Oreochromis niloticus: one gene and its partner. The protein of the gene in region 1 interacts with the protein of each later gene in a biochemical or structural test. Links are inferred from orthologs where the notes say so. Each region holds a gene or a part of one and is shown on either strand. Other genes may lie near its edges.

Region 1 (10,161 bases):
AAATAACTGACTTTTTTTTTTTTTATAAATAGAAATATCTCTTATTGAAATAAAAGCTGGAGAGAAGCATAGTAATTGACCAAGCCAACTATGACTTCCAAAGTGCATTTCAAGAACACACATGATATATGTAGTTGTATGACAATAACTTTTAAAAAGAGACTACACTCAACCCAGCTGCCATCACCACCTCCATGCATCGTGGATGCTCCTCCATTCGTTTATGTCCATATGTTTTGGACGTTGACACAACTTTTGTAGTTTTGACACAAAAGTGCTATACTGCAGTTTTGGCTATACTGCAAAACTGCAGTATAGCCATGTACACAGAATTCCTCCTGCTACCTTGTATCAGCAGCCACATCATCAAGAAACACTGGAGGCCCAGTTTCACATGCTAGCCGTACATGCCGTTTCTATACCCTTACCATTCTTAACAGATAATGTGTTATGCTTCAGATCATGAGACGTTTCTCTCCTTTTCCATACCTTTCTCCTTTCCCCATTCTGGTAAATCTCAGTTGCAACTGCCCAAACCATTGTCCAATTACTTTTGAGCCTATGAAAGTGGTGGTAAGTCTTAAACAGCACAGCTAATATAGCGCTTTTGTTGCTTGAAGGTAAAAATACTCAAATTCAATTACATACAAATTGTTTGATTTAAAATCCAGTGTGGTAGTGTACAGAGAAAACAAATAAATGAATAAATGTGTTAGTGTCCACAAAAAAAGTAATAAAAAGAATGTGAAGGTGGCCCGCGAAGTGATTGCTAGCTTGCTAGCTTGCTAGCTTGATGTGGGTGTTGAGGTACGGCTTGCATTGGGAATGAAGGTTCAGTGGGAGGGAATAATTAGTAGTGGAACTCGGGTAACATATGTTAGAACACGAGCATACGATAAATATTGATGCATATTGAGCTAAATGTTTTTAATTCTCTGCCACTGATTTTTGTTTTACAGCAGCTGCACCAAAGGCTCATGTGTACAGTCACATCCAACATCATATCTAACTGCTGTGACAAATTCAAGGATAAAACATCATTCCTCAGAAAACAAAGCGTTTGAAAAATGGTGCCTATGACCTAAACTAATGGGGTAAGTATGTGTGCGTGTGTGTGTGTTATTCCCATTTGCGAAACAGCATGTAATGCAGCTCATCAGTCACCCAGGACAAACATGTCAATATTTTGATCCATGTTCATGCGCACAGGCCTTGAAATTCATACAATGTGGAAACCTGTGTGTATGTGCGTCGTGTGATTGTGCGTGTGCGTGTACGAGCATGTTCCTTTATGCTCAGAGGAAAGCAGGCAGTGCATCTGACCATATGCTGGAGGCAGTCTGCCTATAACGTGTGTAAGACTAGGCACGTGAGGTGTTGCTATCAAACTGCAGCTGATAGCAGTTTTGTCGGCTTGCAGAATTAATGTCAGTTTGAGGCGGGCACGCTCTACTTCCTGTCGTTGGTTTCAAACAATTGTATCAAGCCAAGTGTAACCGTAGGAGCGCTCAAGCTGTGTTTCTGGGAATGCTGCCATGGCCAAGCTGGTGCACGGCTGGCAGGCCCACTTAGACACGCATTTAAACACTCTCTCTCTGTCTCGCGCACAAACACACACAGGCTCTTACGCTGGTTATAGCATACTCATGGGGACCCTTTGCCTAAACCCTGTACATACACCCTACATCATATGCTCAACTTCAACCATTTTCCAACCTTGAGCTAATGTTAACTTAGAAGGAGAAATTGCCCTCACTTTCCATGAAAGCAAAGCAATGAAAAACACAAACAAAAACACCTGCTCACCAGAGGAGCTCAAACTCTGAGCTTAACGCCCAGCACTGAAAACAAAGTCGACATCTAAATAACGGGATGTTGCGTTAACAAAGAAGCCTGACTCTAAAGCATCTCTGGTGTCAAGCGGAGGACTTCTGCTGTGCTCACAGTTTGGGACTTTAAAAAGATACTTTCAATTAGAGGCAGAAAAAACGACGGAGGCACGCTGCGTCTGTAATTACCGCGCAATAGATGAATCATCATCCCAAGGAACAAGCTCACAGAACATCTCTTCTTAAGTGAGACTTAACAAAAAAAAAAAAAACTTTCACCAAACTCATTAAAAAGTTTGCGTGTGCTCTGTTACCTTTCTTCTATTGTTTGTAGTTCTCTGGCTGCCAACAAGCTGCAGCTGGTTTAGCCAATTTCTTCCCCCTGCTTTTAACGTATTTATGTGTGGAGCTGTGAGTAATGGCTCAGGGGGGGGGAAATCCACTAAGGTGAAGAGGAGGCAGGATGGATGCCCTAACCCTTCTTAATTAACTATTCATGAGACAATAGTCGCTCTCTATTTAGCTAATTGGGCCATAGCTTCTAAGAAAAAAAGAAGTTTGCAGAAAAGTGCCAAAAAGTAACTTTGGATGTCTCAGTGTTGAAGTCCAGGCATGTTTTTCCCACTCCGATCAGTCAAAAATTCTGTGCACAGGCAATTATTCCACAAAATTTTAATTGTTTTTTTTTTCAGACTATAATAAAACTTTTTGTAGGCATGGAAAGTATTTAATTTTGAAGTCATAAGCTTGACTGCCAGAAAATGCTTTTGCTGAATGCTTCTAGGGTTAAACTAGAGGCCTCAAAAGTCAACTGCCAGATCAAACCAGTCTGTTTGCTTCCAGGAAATACAAACCCAGAAAATAAAGGTGTACCCACTCCCCTCCTCCCCTTACATTAAAGCTCTTTTCAGCTTCACATTGAGAAAAGCTTTTAGGTGGCAAGCCTTGCTAAGTCTGTGAATGACACAAATGGCAAGCTTTTTTTTTGGTTCCCAAACCTGAGGACGTCTTCCACAATAAAGCCCTTTGACCTGGCCAGCTCGGTCAGAAAGCTTCTCCTGCTGCGGCCCATTTTCCTCTCCACCAGGTACAGCCTGACATCCTCAAACTTCACCCCTTCACGCCTGGGAGCGCTTGCTTCGGCCGGCCTTGACCTCTTCCTCGCGCGAGGCACAATAGGAGCGTGGAACATCTCTGAGATGAGCTCTCCAAAGTATTTCTGCACCTCTAGGAATCGCCGCTTTTGTGAGTTTGTGTCGGTATTGTTGTGCGCCACTTAACTTCCATCCAGGAAAAAAAAAGAAACACCTACTTTGGTAATGGCGCAGTTGTTTTTTTCACTTGTGTCTCTCTCTCTCTCTTTTTTTTTTTAATATTTGGGAGCAGAGTTGGTGAGAGCTGGCAGACAGGAAAAGCCTCTGGCAACAGGTGCTGAGGATTTGGTGTTTACCAAAAACCACCTGCCAAGATCGAGTGATTGAGGATGTGAGCGAGAGAAAAAATAATATTTTTTTTTCTTTTTTTTGAAAAACACTGTGCTGACGTGGTATTACTCATTTCCAGTGAAGTATTTTCAACCAACACACACTTGGAGGAAGTAAACAATTACTAATCCAGTAGCTGCTGCTTCTTCTTCTTCTTCTTCTTAAAAAGCTGCTCATAAAGTTTTCATGGACTTTAAATTCTGCTCCTCTCGACTGCCAGCGAGGCCTCTCGCTCCTGGGAGACGCCTGAATTCTGGTCACCTCACAAACCCCTCACAGCTGTCCTGCCATGTCCAGTTCGTCTCGCCACTCACCGTCTCATTATGTCCGGACCAAGCCTGCACCATCTGCTCTGCCGCTTTAATTAGCTTACTGCCTAAAAATGAGAGCCTTTGTGGGCATTTCCCCGGAGAGCCCGCAAGCTCGTGCACGGCCTTTGCACACACTCAGGTACTGTATACGCAAGCCGTTGATGATTAGGAGCGTTTATCCGGGGAATACGGCTGCATATGGATCGGACAGAAATGCAGACTGAAAAAAGATTTAATCAGCTGAATTCATCTATTCCTTTTGTTTCCCAAGAGGTAATTACAGCATGTCTCCTGTTGTTATGATTCCTGTGCTATGGCGGTCAGGAATGTAAAAGAAAAGGTTTCAGCAGGTCTTTGCTGTAATTATCTGCAATAATGGATCTGCTTCAGTAGACCAAACAGCAATGATTTGTTGATTTAGGCGAGGGTGATGAAATCATTACAGGCCTTTATTCTACATCTAATTACCACAGCCTCTGTTCATTTCGTCACTTTAATAAGCACACCTTGTTTCTGTCTGCTACACAGAAATTATTACACAGATCTCATTACCGCGGAGTTCTGGGGGTTAACGGGTGTCACGGGGCAGACGCCACTAATTGTTTGACTGTTTACCCCCACCCATCCGCCATCCCAATCAGTCAGTTGTATATGAGGGTGCTGGCCCCCATCCAAACGTGAGACCGATGAAATTCTATCACTAAGACGAATGGCTCTCACACTGCCAGCAGCAATCGTTGCACGAGCAATGAATCCAATTTCTCTTCCACCTTTCTTGAGTAGCTCTGTGGGTGCAAGAGAAAATTGTCTGATAATTACAATTATGGTGCATATTCAGTTCCATTTAGAAAGGACAAAGTGACAGTCATATCTTGATTTTTTTTTTTAGTTTATTTCTTTTTTTGTGCCCTGAGGCCATTTACTACAACTTTGAAGATGAAAATAATGACATTTATGTTGTGTATGTTTTAAAATTAGTACAACTTTAAGAGTTGTGTTGGGGTTTTATAGTCTCGTTAGACTATAATAAGTCATTACAAGCACACAAATATTCAAACAACGCATGCTGTGCTCAAAGAAATTTCACGTACAATACTGGAATCAAAAGAAATACAGCCAACCTTTGGCAACTTTTACTTAACAGTAAAGTTTCAAGATACCAGTTTGACATGATGCACTTTGTGGTGACATGTGCATTGTTAGAACCATCAGAAGATGGGTGCATGCATGGACAGCGTATACAGTAATACCCAGGTAGCCTTTGGCCTTTGAACGATGCTCAGTTGACACTAAAGGGTCCAAAGAGTACCAGGAAAATATTCCCCACAACATTGCACTACCACCCTGAGCCCTTGATACAAGGCAGGATGGGATACATGCTCCATTTAGCTTAAAGCTCGTTTTAACTTTGTCCATTTGTTCTTTCTGCTAAGACAACAGTATAGTCAGTTTACCAGAATTTTTTAACTACACTGTTCTGCTGCTCCTAAAAAAATGTTAAAAATGGTTCAAACATACTGAAAAAGCTACACAAGTCTTTAAAAGCTCAAGAGCAGTGCGTATGGAGCTTCCTGGAATGGGTTTTGATGGCCGAGCAGCTGCATCCAAGCCTTATATTACCAAACCCAATGCAAACCGTCAGATGCAGTGGCACAAAGATCGCCACCACTGGAATCTAGAGCAGTGGACAGATGTTCTCTGAAGTGATGAATCACGTATCTCCATCTGGCAATCTGAAGGACGAGTCTGGGTTTGGTGGTCAGCTGTTATAGCTGCAAACCCTATGGTTTAAAAATAGGATGTTACTGAAGTTCATATGCATGTGAAGGCAGATGAACAAATATGGCAATACAGTGTATCATGCAAATAGCAAATATTAGCAGCAGGCTCTATTAAGTTACATTCCACCACTTGTTCTGCCCGTGTCCTCATCTGATATCACTTTGCATTGCAAGAGTAACTGCACTCTAGTCAAATGGCATTGGTAGGATGGCAAGTAGTGATGTCTGACCTGAAAGTATCATTTTAAAAAAATATATATATATATATATGTATATATATATATATATGTGAAAAACGTAATTAGGTTAACTTAAACTTATCAAAGTTTCTAAAAAAAGCTGAATGAAGGAATGCACTCTATATATGGCCATCTTTCCTCAGAGAATAATGCAACCTAAAGAGCCTCATGAGTGAAATACGATCACCCCCTGAAATCAAAATAAACGCAGAGTGGATTACATCCTTTAACCATAAATGAAGCAGGCATGAGCTAGGATGTAAAAATTAAGTCCCACTGTTATGAAACTTTTGTTTCAGAAGTATTTATATAGAACGAGGAAGTCCCCGCTTCCCTATTTGTTAATGGCTCATTGTATTCTATGGGACAATTTTAAAATTTTAAGAAGACATGAATTGCCACACCACTTATGGGTTAAGAGAGAGAGAGAGAGAGAGACGGGAAACGTGTGTTGGTTATAATGAGGTGACCTCTCTGTGTGTACTTCTCCCTGCTGAAGCTGCGCTAGAGCCACAGTGCGTGACGGGTCAGTCTATTACTGTACTTCCAAAAGCACACTCGTGCTCAGAGGTTCCCTGTAGAGTCCGAAATGAACCTGCCGTCCAGAGAGGAGTGCGAGGGGTGGGACCAGGCAAAAGTAGCCTCCTTACTGTATAAGGTGAGTCCACTGGAAATGGGAGAGATGCTTGTGTTTTGTCATAGTTTAAATATTCACCACTTCATTCTGAGGGTCATGTATAATGTTAATGTTAATGCAAATTAGCAGCTAAAGTGTTAAAGTAAGACCAGGACATTAGATGACTGGAAGTTAAATGTTTGGTTGTTTCAATAAGTGTGTGTAATTAGCAATTTAAAAGTAGTGAATGGATATGTTTCCTCTCCTCAGAATAATATGCAAGAATGCGCCGTCACCGTAAACAGACTGAAAATTAATGGACAGAGATTTCTGGTGAGTCTTTCCTCATTTGTACCTGAATAATCCAGAAATGGCTCTTTCTCCCACGCAGTTACATAATCTACTAATCCACCCAGGATCATATCAGGGTTGTGGTTGTGTTCAGTTTGTTATTCTAATTAAAATGGTCAAATCCTGACGAGCAGTTGTTATTATTGTGATTATGACATTAACAGCAGCAGAATAATTACATTTCCTCGAGCTGTTTGTGCCATTTTGCTAGAAAACACACACACACACAAAGAATCAGTTGAGGCTGGTTTATTTGTAAAACTCTCACTCTCTCTGTTACTCTGGCAGACATTTTTTTATTATTTTCTTGTTAAAATGTCACTGCTTGACTTGACTGACGAACACACTTTTACTATGAATCTAAAAGCACGCTTCAAGTTGACAAACAGGAGAGTTCACAGGATACGAAACATGACTAAAGCCGGTTGCGTTACTTTCCACACTTGCTCTTTGTGTAAACTGTGGCCCTGCTAATGTGGAAGTCTGTGTATCTGTTGTAACTTCTGCTTTGGTTTCACCCTCGCTGCTCTGTCTCCATCATCCACACCGTGTGTACAGTCTCTGAGGCCTTTCTCATAGTTACCGAGAAGCAGGCTGCCAAAATGAGCGCAGCTGAGTGCCCCTGTTCGGGAGAGAGTAAGGAGTGTGAAATGAGTCTCATGGCTAATAAAGCTGTAATCCCCACTTACTTAAGTAAGTATCTCTAAATCTGCTTCAGTCATGAGGGGGAACGCTGTTTAAAGAGGATTTTATGCAGCAAATAACTGAAGTGAGGGTTTATAACTCCCTAATATTTGGTGTTTTGGGGATCTTTATAATACTTCAGTAAAAACCTCCCACACACTGGCAAGCCTGAAGAAGCTTTCATTCATATGCATCTTTTAAGTGGACGCTTATGCACACTTCTTGCCACGCTCTAAATTAGAGCAGCGGCCTAGTCGCCTATTCATTATTCAATGACCCTGAGCTAACTCCACTTTAGGTGGGATATTGCATCACTGAAGTGTTTGGCCTGCATAGTTAAAAAAAAAAAAAGATGCGGATTTTTATCAGTCAAATTGATTAATACTTCAGAGCAGAGGCTTTGATGTGCACATTAACAGCACCGATCTGAAATATACATATACATACAGTATGTGTATCGATTGATGGATCTCCTTAGCTACGGATCCAGCCAGTGCACGCTTAAGTAAACCCATGCTTTTATTGAATGGCTGCCCAGCTTTTTAGTTTAACTAGCTTCAAGGTTGCGGTGTCTGACAGACATTCCCCAGTCAAACTTTTAAGCTTTTTTTTTGGTCTAGTTGATTATTTTTTTTTATTCAGTATTTTTACTGCAGCAAAGGATTTTGATCTATAACCTAAAATCCCCAACCAGCTTCTCGATGGATCGCTTTTGGATGAAATTTCCTTCTGCTGTTCGGCGTCCTCAGAGGCTGAATCATGCTGACTTTTGCAAACCTCTAACTTTTTCTCCAGTGCCGCAAGAGGAGGTTGACATTTGTGGTTCAGAGCAAAGTAGCTCAGCAACAACTGGGTGCACGGGCATGAAATTTGCAGCAAATATTCTGTGTCAATAGAGGACTTTGTTTTGCTCTTGACTTTATAATTTGCTCAAACAGGCAGGCTGGCATTTTTAACTATTATGTAGCATATGTAAGCAATTTGCACAAATAATAGACTGTATATAATGCAAAATGTTATATAATCTGCTATTTTAAGCTCTATAGTACAGATATTTGTGGTTTGATTACCTTCCGGTTGTTCCTCCAATCAAATGCTCCCATCAGTATCAGCTTGTTAGCATTGCTACTGGAATATATTAGCAAGCTGATGTTAGGCTGTTATGACTGTATATAAAATATGGACACCTGCTAGTTTGTGAAGGCTTTAAGCATGTTGGCTGTCACAGTGAAGTGGGATGTGATGAGCAAGAAAACTCTGGGCACTGCTGTCAACCACAAGGTGGCCCCATCCTGAAGCAGTATTGGCTCTACAAGTAGCCATAATTTAGAAAAAGTCCATGATGTAACTGAGAAGATTTCTAACTCACAAGTTATACTACAGCACAGTCAGGAAACTGTTTTCTGGAATGATTAGTGGAATCCTTTTCCTATAGACAACCTGTCTTTGTCATACAACCAGAGAGGTTGCCCCCTACTGGTAATGATAAAGAATGCAGAAGCTTCACCTTTCAGATCTGGAAAGTTACAGAAGAGTTATGACACTAAATGTTCACTGGTGTTTATGAGCATGCTTACAGAAAGTGTATAAAGTTGTCTGTGTTTGACAGAATAACTTCATAGATACATATATTTGGAAAATATCTGAAAAAAGTCTTTACTGTAAAGACATTTGTGTCTTTGAGAAAGGTTTTGTTTGGATTTTCAGTTGACGAATTCCAGCAGATGGTGCTCTGTTACTTTCTCTACTACAAGTGACGCTGCTCATTGCAACTATCCAGTTCCTCTTCTATTTTTGACAAACATCCTGAAATTGCCCCTGGCAGTGTAATGTCACTTCCTTTTATTTTACAAGAGCAACCGTTTTAAAGACTCAGTGGTTGAATCATCAGTGTGCTTCTGAAAAACCGACCCGCCTGCAAATATACGTTTTTGTATTGTTTGAAGGGGCTGTGTTTGCCTGTGTTAACCTAAAATCACATTTGACAACAACTGCAGTGTTGTTAACACTCCAGTGACATCACTGAAAGGACTAATTATTAATAAAAGGAGAATTTTTAAAGGCATTGTTTGCCTCTTCTATGGGTTTTTAAAATCCAGCAAAGAAGAGGAAACATTTGTAATAAGTTATTTTTGACTCATCCGGAGCTCAGCGTGTGTCCAGAAGCAGAGCAGGGCCTGCACTTTGGTATCTGAATGTCATCCAGCGAGCATGCTTCTGCTGAGCATTGCCTTTGGCTTATTTTACATATTCATGTAATGTACAGTGGCTGGAGCAAAGGTCATAAAATCCATTTAAAAAAAGTGAGCAACACAGATCTGAACTGCTTTCATATGGCAACGTCATCATCAGCTCCTGGCTCGAATGCATCTTATTCACATTGCACCCACAACGCGTGGTCACGATTTAGCGGTAAGAATGAAAGGTGAGAAAAGAAAAACAGTTTTATTCGAGCGGTGGATGGCTGTATAATACAGTACGGAGAGGAATGACAGACAGTCAGCGCAGCGCGGATAAAGGTAATCTCTGTCTTTTTGATGCCACATTCGCTCACACAGGTAGACAGGTTAAAAGCGATATGTAGAAGCAGAAGATCAAAAGAACTGTCAGCTTCCATCTCTGTAATGCCGCCTGTGTGTGGCGGCTATGTGGGGAAGCCACTTTCAGCTTCTGTGTATCACATTGACATTACAAACGAAGGCCCCTCGAAAAAAAAAACCACGTGCTTCCATTGCAGATGCTTCCTATGAAGCACATATAGCACATCTGCATTTAGTTGCCACTTTATTAGGTGCAGGGTTGGATTGCCTTTTGCATTCAGAAGTGTCTTGTGCTGGAAACATACCTCAGAGATTTTAATCCATAC
Region 2 (10,743 bases), on another chromosome or scaffold:
AGACAAAGAAGGTCAAAACCCAAAAGGAGACGATGAGAGCATCAGCGCGCCCCTGGTGCTGTCCCAGGAGAGGAAGGAGGAAGTGTGCAGGAGGCTACGCAGCCTGGAGGAACAACTAAAGAGACTACAGGTGAACAGAGGGGGAGATGGAGGGGAATATTGAGAGAAAACTGTAAGCAGGGAGCAGGACGTATGACAGGGGCAGATAGAAATGTCAGCTCTAACAAAAGATTGGAACTGACTAGAAAGAGACTCAGAGCTGGGCATGAAGATTTCAGTGGGGATAACTTGAGTAAGGAGTGAGCTGTGGACAAATGGGGCCAAATGGCACAAAAGAGAAACCAGAGAATAGAAAACCATTTAACTGCTGCTGTTATTGCTTTGCTGAAAATTGCCTTGTGAAATTGGACTTCTCTAAAAATGGCTATTATGTCCAGCACTTGCAATGGGATGTGTCAGAGAAGCAGCGAGGGAGACGAAGAGAGGATGTTAAGAGGAGAAGGTTGAATTGTGTGTGTGTTTGTGTGTTCTCAGTTCCTACGGTTATATTGATTTTGTGTGTTGCAGACTGTAGAAGAGGAACACCACAAGCTGCAGGAAGCCCTTTCCAAGTTCTCACTGGAGGGGGGCAGCTTCCAGTGACCCACCTTAATGCCTCCTGCTGGCCGTTAGGTGAGAACACTAAACTAGATAGTCATGTTAAGTATCGAATTGTCATTATGATTAATGTTATAGAGCCATTTCCACTCACGAATGGACAAGGTTAAAAGAATCAGGTTTAGCTTTTGGACAGCTTTTTTTTTTTTTTTCACCCTGAAAAATATGTGCAGTGTTATTGTTAAACTGTGTATATCTCAAGCAAAATCCATAAACAAGTTGGGGCAGTTTGTACGTGGCCTGAGAGGTGAAGCCCAAGGCAAAAACAAAAACCACTTACTGCTGGTAGTTGGGACTATTGGCCGTGAGCTAATGGCAACATTTGAAGGTGACTGATGACAGCACCTGCATTTTTATGAGCTCTTCTCAAGCTGCATTTGCATTTTTGTGACTGTAAAGTCTGAAGAATCAAAATGAGACTACAAAAATACTAGATTAAAAAAAAAAAACAGGATTTATATTAAAAAGTATGTTGGTTTTTTGGGGGGGGTTTTTAATGATTTTTTTTTTCTGTGCAGGTTTTGACTGGTGCTGGTTTGGACTGAGTGACTTTCAGAGGCTTTCCTGGAAATTCCTATACCGTCATACATCTATGACCAGACCATCGATACATTTCTTTTTCTTCCCCCTCTTGCGTGTGTGTGGGTGTATGTGTGTATGTGTGTGGGTGTGTATGTCAGCTGTTTGCAGCCAATCAGAAGTTTTATTTTGGGGGGGTTTTTTCTCCTTTTACCAATTGGCCATTTAGGGAAGGGCTTTGTGCACAGTGCAGTGGTTCAGTAATGGAACATGGGAGGTGTGTATGTGTGCGTGCATGCTGGATAGAGGGCTATACAAAAAAAGAAAAAAACAATGCTAAATTGGGGTTTGAGGATGCTGTTAGTGAGAGGTGCCAAAAGAAATGAAGCAATATTTTGCTGTTAGTGAGTTGCTGCCTAAGAAAATATAGTGATTTGAGTCTGCTGTAACACACATACGCAAACCAGAAACATGCATGATGGAAAATAATTTACAGTAATGCCAAATTCAAATGTACAGTAAAAGAGAGAGCCTTAAATGGCCAATGTAGCATTAGGTCTATTGAAATACTACTACTGATATATAGTGTTATTTCTAGTCTATGCCAAAGTAAAACAGAGATGCACTTTTAATCAAAACAAGATGAACGCACACAGTTATTGCTAATTTTGTTACTTTTAGCTCTGTATTCTGTATGGTTATTAAGGCAGCCCTCATTATTGAAACGATGCATGCAAGAAAGTGTGTGTATGTGCGTTACAAATTTTTTAATTAAGGATATATTTCTTTGGATGATTCTTACTGTAATTAGGTCACATAAAAATCATTTATAAATAGTGGCAGTATAAGTAATCTTGCTGTTAATAGTGGAGATTTGTTTGTATGTACCGCTTTTATTTATTCCCTTGAGTCCTTGTGTGTCAGTGAGCTTCTTCACCTGAGTGAAGCTGATACAATGCCAGGCCAGAAAGAAAAAGCGATGTGCAAATGTCGGACAGGACAAACAAAAGCGAAGCTTGCGTGTGTAGAGCAGATTAGAGTGGAATAGAAAAGTGAAAGAACTGGCAACTGGTTTCAAGGTGGTTGCTTCTTAGATACCTTTAACTTGATGGTCATGAGAGAGTAGAAAGTAGGAGATTAGGATTTGCGCCCCTATATTAAAAAACAAAAAAATACAGAAAAATGTATATATATGAAATATATAGAGAGCTCAGTATTACCACGCTCATATCATTTCAGAAGTTTCAACTTAGCTTTAGAGAGGGTTCCTAAATGCTCATCCAAAACACTTTAGTTGGGGTTATACTTTTCGGCGTATTATGAGATCAGATTGATTTAAAAAAAAAAAAATCTGTTCATCTCTGGTATATTGAAAATTTGAGCTATGGTGATATTTTATTGAGCAGTTGACTATGGTAATATAATTTCTGATCTGTGGCGTAACTGGGGCTGTGCACACAGGACCAAAGAAGTAACAGCAAACCGCTAGATCCTCATTTGTACATTAGCTTTATTAGTGACGTGCATCATCTGTGTAGTAGCGTGTCACAAAATGTTGATGCAGGAATGGTGGCTCAGTAATGCAGTCTGGAATCAGCAGCTGCTTTTCTTCACCCCAAACACGAAGGGATTTGAAAAGCACATTGAATAATAAAAACACAATTTTTTTAAAAGTTAATGTAAAGAAAATACCAAGATGAAAAATGTTAGATTATTTGGGATTAGTCATAAGACATTAACAATCTATAGGACTGGGAAGTTTAACATTGAACAAAAAAGTTGCGCTATAGAGGATTAGAGACGCACCGCACACGCCCCTGGTACTAAGCTGAACATATGGGGCTGATACTGACACAGCAGCAATACTGCAGCCAGATGAGGACACAAAGGAAATGCTGAAGGTCTGGAGGAAGGAAAACTGTAGACTCACTCCAACATCACTCTTACCAGCACTGTAATCAGGAGCACTTCCTGACATGCATTCTTATTGTTGTTGTTGCCACAACAACAAATGCCACCTTTGAACCTACTGAACCTCACCGGGTTTGCTCATTTTGATCACTTAAGTGTTCATAGTCTTCTATATATGATTCTAGCATCTCTCTCCATGTATTGCTCTTTGGAAGTGTATATAAATGTAGTTTGAAGGCAAAAAAAGACAAAGACAAAAAAATAATAATAGCTCCCCTCTGTGTGTTAAGCTTTTTTTTTTTTTTTAGCTACACACTCTTCTTCATAACACACTCACACCTTTTAATTGCGTAATCACTTGTTTCTACTGCACAGTTTTATCCCACATTTTGTGTATTGAGTCACTTAAGTAGGTTGGGGAGGGAGTATTTTCCACAGAGGCTTTTGTAATTATTTACTATGCATTTTCCACAATGGTGAGAGAGGCAGGACTTGCCTGTAACTTGTCTTTGCAGTTTTATGATTGTGAATCAATTGAAAGAAAAAATATTCAGTGCCAACCAGCTCTGTCCTCAGGCTACCCACAGTGCTTTTCAATTTTTATTAATGTAGGTGGTAGGCAGTTGGAGTCCAGCTACCAACAGCATCAGCTGATTCCTTCAGTCTCCACTGGCTCAACAACTACGACAGGCACTTCTCGCGCTCTCTCCTTTAAATGCTTTTCCTCATGTATTCCATATACAAAATGTATAGAAAACTTTATTTATAGAGTGGTGCCTTGTTCTAACGATCAAGTTGTTTGCTTCATAAAGGACTCTTTAGTTGAACACAATCACTGCTGTGTGTGTACCTCAATGAGAAACATGACTAGTAAGCAGAGAAAAATCATGCCAGGATTCTGGTTGGGTGGTTTAAGGTTTGAGGGTTGTTTCTATATGTAGTTTAAACTTGGGCTTCATCACACTATTTTTGTGTCCATCTCTATCCCATAGTGAGGATGTAAGCCCTCTACCAACTCAGCCGACCAGTGCCCAGTATATTAAAAAAAACGAAATAGACACTGCTCCTTGCCATACTGGTGTTTGCCATCTTATCTATAAACATTGTATATGCAAGAACTATACTGTGTATTTGGGTTTGATTTTTATTGTGTAAGATGCTCTTTAATGATGTATACCTAAAGAAATTTGTGGTACGCTCTGTTTTTTTATTTCTTTTCTCTCTTTTTTTTTTTAATAAACTGGGGAAATTTTTTTCTGTTTTCTTATTTACAGTTGGGAGAACATCATGACAATTGTTTAGGGTTCAACCATAGTTGGGCTTCACTACATTTCTTTTTTAAATATACAGTGCATATTTTTTTTTAAAAACACATGAAATATAGAATATCGGGATTCCATGTAAATTCCAGTCCTTTAAATTCTAAATATTTAATTGAAAAAATGTGTCAAATCTCAAATCTGATTATATTAATCTGCAATATACAGTTAATTGTGCAAAAAGTCCCAGAAAGGTATTTAAAAGGTAAAGATGATGGCTTTATGTGCAAGTAGCTATCTCTTTCTAAATGTTGAATTGCAAAGAATTTACAGGGTTTTTTAATACACAGGGAACAAGGCTGAAAAACATTAAATGGATCTTAAGCCAAAGCTGTTTGAAACAATAGATTTCTGTAGTGGAAAGCACTGCATTAGTTCAGGAACACAGTTCATGACACTGCATGCACCAATTAAACAAAGCTCCACTGTAAAACAAAAAAGGTAAACAAGATCCAGAAACTCTCCACCTATGGGTCTGACCTCATTTGAGACAAAGTGTTTGTTTTTGTCTGATTAATCTAAATTTGACATTCTTGTAGTTTTGATGGGTGCACTCTGCAACAATCCAGGTATATCACTGGAAGGTTTGGATCAGCCATCAAACAGGACAAGAACAGACTACAAAGGACTGTGAGGTCTTCTTCCAACTATTCCCCTCCAGTAGGTGCTATAACAAGCAGTGTCACTACTAGAATTTGGCAACACTGGGACCTTACACAGGTTGCACAGGTATTTCAACTCCTCCAGGAAGGTACAGCAATACTTGCCATTGCCAGAAGGTTTCCAGTGTCTCCCAATAATGGTGTTAAGAGCATGAAGGAGGTTCCAGGAGACGGGCAGTTACTTTAAGAAAGCTGGAAAGGTACCTGCTCCTTTGTGCAAGGAGGAACAGCAGGAGAACTCCCAGAGTCCTACAAAATGACCTTCAGCAGACTTCAGAGGGTGGCCTGAGGCCTTGATGTCCTCTAGTGGGTCCTGTACTCACTGTAGATGATATGTATTCATCTCAGTAGCAGGTAATGTAGATGTTTAAATGTTAGGGATTTAAATGTTAATCAGAGTGGTGATGAGTGGGAGGAACAACAGCACGGCGCCAAACTGAAATAGTCTGCCAGTATCTCACCCAATGGAATCACAAGGCACACTGAAAAGAAAAACGACTGACCAAGGCTCCAAAATGTTTAATAGTAAGACTTTTACTTCAAAGCTTGAACAGTTTGTCTCCTGAGTTATTGCTTTCAGAGAAAAGAAGAAATACAATACATTGTCCCTCTATCAACTGTTCCATTTCTACTTTTGATATTAGCAATTTTCAGTTAAGAGCAGCATTTAGTTGCTATTTGCATGTTCAACAGACTTTCAGACTTTTTTTAAAAAACAAGGTTCTATTTTTTTAACTGTTTGGATGCAGTACTTAAGCAAATGTGGGCTGGTGGAAATTTATTCAAGCATAAATCCTGCCACTGAAAAACAAGACACCAGTGTGATCTTGCAGAAGAGAAGACTGAAGCAGCGCTGTGTGTAGAATTTTTTAAAACTTTTTTTAAAATCAGAATTTCATCCGTTTTTATTTCTAGATTGAATTTTGGCTTATGAAAATGGGGATGGTTGTAATATTTGTCCTCTCCAGCTTGGTGGGTGAGTCAGATTATATTTTTTAACACATTCAAGTATGTGGACTTGTTTTATTTAGAAGTAATCATTGACATCATCCGTTTATTACATATTTCAGAAATCTCAGTTATGTTTTTGAAAGATTAATTGTTTCAGCATGTCATATTTCTACATATCGGTTCAGTATATATGTACTCATGTATTAAAGTTTGTTTAACCCTTTTGAGTTCTGCTTCAGTGAACCACATTTCCTGTCAAAACAGATGGCTGTGCTATCATGATGACATTTTTTGCTTCAGTCGTTCTGGTTACTTATGCTATACAATTATAGATCATTTGGCATTTTTAAAGCATATTTTAATACTTTGTCAGTTTTGAATATGGGTTGTGACATTATATGCAGCCATCATTAAATAATCGGAGACCTCGATAACAAGTCCTACAACATAACATGTCTTAACTTGCGCTTTCTTCAACAGTGGATTTTGCTTGGGGTGACCTGACTTTAGAACCAGACAGACCCTCACTGAGTGTGGCAGTCTCTGAAAACGCTTCACTGGAATGCTGCTATAAATCACCGTCGAGGATAGCGAATGTCACCTGGATCCGCCATCATAACAAAACTCAGGAGGTGGTGTTAAATCAAACAGTTAAATCAGAGACCAAAGAGTCAAACTCTGTAAAAATATATTGTTCCGTGCTACACTTCACTAAAGTACAGCTGGAGAACATTGGATTTTACCAGTGTGTGCTGAATGCTAAAATCTATTCACATGGAACCTACCTGCGTGTCTACAGTGAGTGTGCGTGTGTATATGTGTTGTTTTGGGGGGGGGGGGGGTTGTCACTACTTCATAAGCCATAAATCCTGTTATTGTTAATCTGTCCAAGAGCTGTGAAAATGGCAGCATCCATATATATTCAACTTATTTCATCTTTACATCTTCAGGGTTGTTGCATTGCAGTATGCTGCACCATTCATTCACTTTAAATAGCACCAAAATTAGATCAAATTTCAGTCATGTCATTTCAGTCATGTGCAAAGGCATTAGTCACACTGAAAGGCCTCTTTACACACTAATCTCATTAAAACCAGATGGTAGATGAGGAAACATAAAACTGCCAGTCAGAGGGATTATGTGTGCGATAACCTGCACTGTTAACGTGACCTAACAGTACCACCAATTGTATGTTTAACTGTGATCCTTATGCTAAATGTAACAGTTATATAACAAAACTATCAGTCTCATAATAAATCTCCTGGTAAGGCTTTTAAGTAATGATTTTGTTGGCCTGCGTTCTCATATGCAGGCTAACAAATACGCAGGATTCACGTGTTCACACTTAAAGTGGAAAAAGATAACTCGTGTTTAAAAACCAATATGTGCAAGTGCTAATTTGTTTGTTTGACCTCTGAACCCTTTCTGCATTCCTAGAGCCAATGGAGAAGACCATAAACCTGAGTGAAACCACCAAAAACAAGATCCTGATAGCTGAGGGATTCTTACTATTACTGTGTGTGATGCTGCCTTCTGCCATTCTTCTGTTCAAGGTCAGAACGTTGCATTATTATACAATGATCAGCAGCACTACTGTTGAAGCTATCCTTAATTTCAAGCATTTACCCACAAGAGCATTATTTTTAATGTATTATTCATGCATTAAAAAGTAATGCCAGAGCTGTGCGACTCTGGCATGGATTTTTTTTTCTTTCTTCTCTGTCAACAATGGGAATTTGCAACGTTTGACTGATTTACTACTTTTGGTTTGCCCTACAGTCAAAGAAGCTTAATGAACTGGAGAAAAAGAAAGCAAAGAAAGAAGAGGAAAATATATATCAGGTCAACATTACATATTCTCAATCTCTTTCCATTACACAAGGCAAAGCAGGAAAGCAGGAGCTAAGAAATGAACACCATTTCTAGTTCTTTTTGTTGTTGATGTGTATATCTTTTACTGATAATAGCCTTTGCATGATTTCCTTTTTCATTTTATCAAAAACCAGGGGCTAAATCTGGATGACTGTTGTGCAACATACGATCAGATTGAACGCTCCCAAGCACAGGGCCCGTACCAGGATGTGGGCAACATTAAGGAAGAAGAGGAAGAAATCCAGCTGGAGAAACCATAAAACAAAGTGAAGAACAGACGGTTACGAGTGTTACATGTAAATAGCAGGCTTCTTACAGCACGCTCTGATTTCAGAGTTTTGTACTCTGAAGGTTTTTATTTTTTAAGATTTAAACTGTATTTGTCAAAACAATCTTAACACAATATCCACTGGTCTGCAACCAGGATTTTAGAAATACGTGCTTATCAACATATCAACTATAAACTTTTTTTCACTTGTTTCATGATGTTTTTAAATATACACATTTACATTTTTAAATATATGTGGGTGTTTTGCTTTAGCTTTTTTATTCTAATTTTGCACACAGGCTCCAGAAAAACATGACGGGTCAGACTGGTTAGGCTACTTATGCACCCCAGGTTGCGTTGTCGGCTTTTTAAATATTCATTGACGTGCATCTGCAACAGTTATGTGCTTTTTGCTATTTCTGTGAGTGCTGGAATAATAAAATGATGTTAAAAAATCCATCAAATCTCTCTATAAATTGTCTGAGTAATACAATTGCCCTCTGTGTGCAGTGAATAGGATAAGGCTTTGTTTCTTTTAGGGGGTTGCACAATAAAGAGAGTAGGGCGGCACTTACGAAATTTTGATTTGTCCTGATTGGTTACTGAACAGAGGTAGGTTTTCATTGGCTTACATTTCTGGCGTGGGCGTGGTCTCATGGCTTCCCAGGTAGATCTGTTATAAGAGATGTGAGAGGCGGTGCGTAAACAGAGTGGGCGAATATGGCGTCCAGCAAGAAGGGTAGTGGGACTAGCAGACTGGAAAAAGGTGTGAATGGAAGGCGCTCGTCCAAACACAAAGAGGGTCCAGTGGGTGAGGGTTTTTTTTTTTTGTAAATTTGGTCTACCTACTAAGCTCCCTCTGTGGCTTGTCTCTTTAATAACACCCCCCCTCCCCAGTTGTACGCTGTGTCCTCCTGCTAGCGTCCGTTAGCGGCTAAGTTAGCTGTCCTTTGGTAGCTGCCGCTAGGTCTGTTTTAGCAGTAAAAGTCTCATGATTCTTGTATGACAGAAAAAGGGAGGCGCTGAGTTAACATGTGCGAGCTGTTGGTGAAAGAAGTGTCCAGTCAAACTGTGACACTCTGTTGCTGGCATGTCTCTAGTTAGAGCATCCTTTAGACGTAGCAGCCGCCTGCACACCGTTAGTAGTCATTATAACGTTAGCAGCCAGGTTATCTATGTAATAGACTTTAGTTTACGGGACACATACTGTATGTAGCACGTGCTCGTATTTATGTTCACTTGTCACTTTTCGTGACTCTAGCGTCGACCGCTGACACCGACCGGACCCACCTGAACAGGTACGCAAAAAACAACCACTAGAGGAGGAGACTAGATTAACCAGATTAAAGCTGCGAGCGTAATACATGCACACAAAGGGGGAGTTTATAGTTGTACTGCACTGTGCATTAATCGATTAAGGTCGACTGATGGTGACGCTGTCACTAGTTCGACCGATGTGACGTAAGAGCAGGGTGACACATCGTGACTAACAGCAAGCCTCTGAAAGGCGGTGGCAGACTTTCAAAGCACGATGCTCGTAGGGACTGTGGATGTACTATTATTACTAAACACACTCTCGATTTTGCTCTGTTCGTCTGGTGACTAGTCTTCTGTCTCATTGTATTTAAGAACAGTCCAGCCCACCACGTTCAAAAAGCCATATTTCTGACCGCAGTCTGAATCTTATCTTTGTCTTTGCTATCTAAACAAATGACATTGTGTATTGTAGGCCCCTATAATTGGATAGGAAGCGCTTCCCCTAATCTTACTTGTTATGGAAATTTCCTAACATGCTCAGGTTTTATCAGATCTTATCATCAGACTTATAATTTTCTTTTCCTATAATGCTATGATATTATAAAACTTAGGTGAACCCATTTATGTAAAGGGTGTGGAGGCTCATTGTTGCAAGTTTCCTGTTGTTGAGTTTGGACTTGTGTGCGTGTGAAGGTGCTCTGCCTGGTAGGAAGGTCAAAACTTCCTTCTCATGATACTACTGGGCTCCTGCTGCACGCTCTTCTGTTTTGCCTTTGCCCTGGACAAAGATGTCTTTCTATAGATTTAATTCTTTGACTATGACACATATCTGGAACTGTCACATCGTATGTAAAGAGACCATCTTTCAGAGGTTGTGCTGTGATGGATGGTGCCTTTTGAAAAACAGCCAATGTGTTTTTATGTGCTTGGGATTATAATTACCCACTTTTCGACAGCATGGGTCTGTTTAGGCTTGATAAAGTGGGGAAACAAACACCAATGAGTTAGAAAAGGCTTAGACAAGATCAGTACAGTAAGTCAAACTGACATTGAGAAGATACTTCTATATAACAACTACGGTAGTGTTTTCTGAGTGGAAGGAATTTCAAGTGAGAATTTATATTCAAGACAAAAGGAAAGCTCTTAAGTTTATTTTCTCTTTGCCCATTTTAATGTCTCTAAATTATGTAAACTTTTCATTTGCTTTTAGCTTTGCTGACAGGCTTTCTTTTACAGATGACAGGCCTATTCACTGCAGTCACTTGACATTTGGAAAAGCACAGGTGTTACAAGCAATGACAAGAATTCCCATGGGGCAGTGAGCCGG

What was found. The genes of interacting proteins can lie anywhere in the genome.
Region 2: the proteins of blnk (region 1) and cd79a form a complex in vitro, tested with the Homo sapiens proteins (2 studies listed by BioGRID). The link is inferred for Oreochromis niloticus from reciprocal best matches to the Homo sapiens genes BLNK and CD79A.

Annotation. Positions count from the first base shown.
Region 1 is NC_031978.2:26,390,612-26,400,772, reverse strand, and holds the start of blnk (B-cell linker protein), read left to right. Parts: upstream 1-6,137; 5' UTR 6,138-6,233; coding exon 6,234-6,302; intron 6,303-6,530; coding exon 6,531-6,593; intron 6,594-10,161. Other genes in the region: dntt (DNA nucleotidylexotransferase), read right to left, coding at 2,828-3,021. UniProt on the Homo sapiens protein: Functions as a central linker protein, downstream of the B-cell receptor (BCR), bridging the SYK kinase to a multitude of signaling pathways and regulating biological outcomes of B-cell function and development.
Region 2 is NC_031976.2:25,272,836-25,283,578, forward strand, and holds cd79a (B-cell antigen receptor complex-associated protein alpha chain), read left to right. Parts: upstream 1-5,850; 5' UTR 5,851-5,998; coding exon 5,999-6,044; intron 6,045-6,499; coding exon 6,500-6,817; intron 6,818-7,456; coding exon 7,457-7,572; intron 7,573-7,798; coding exon 7,799-7,861; intron 7,862-8,025; coding exon 8,026-8,151; 3' UTR 8,152-8,618; downstream 8,619-10,743. Other genes in the region: arhgef1 (rho guanine nucleotide exchange factor 1), read left to right, coding at 1-130, 568-642; lipeb (hormone-sensitive lipase), read left to right, coding at 8,880-8,970. UniProt on the Homo sapiens protein: Required in cooperation with CD79B for initiation of the signal transduction cascade activated by binding of antigen to the B-cell antigen receptor complex (BCR) which leads to internalization of the complex, trafficking to late endosomes and antigen presentation.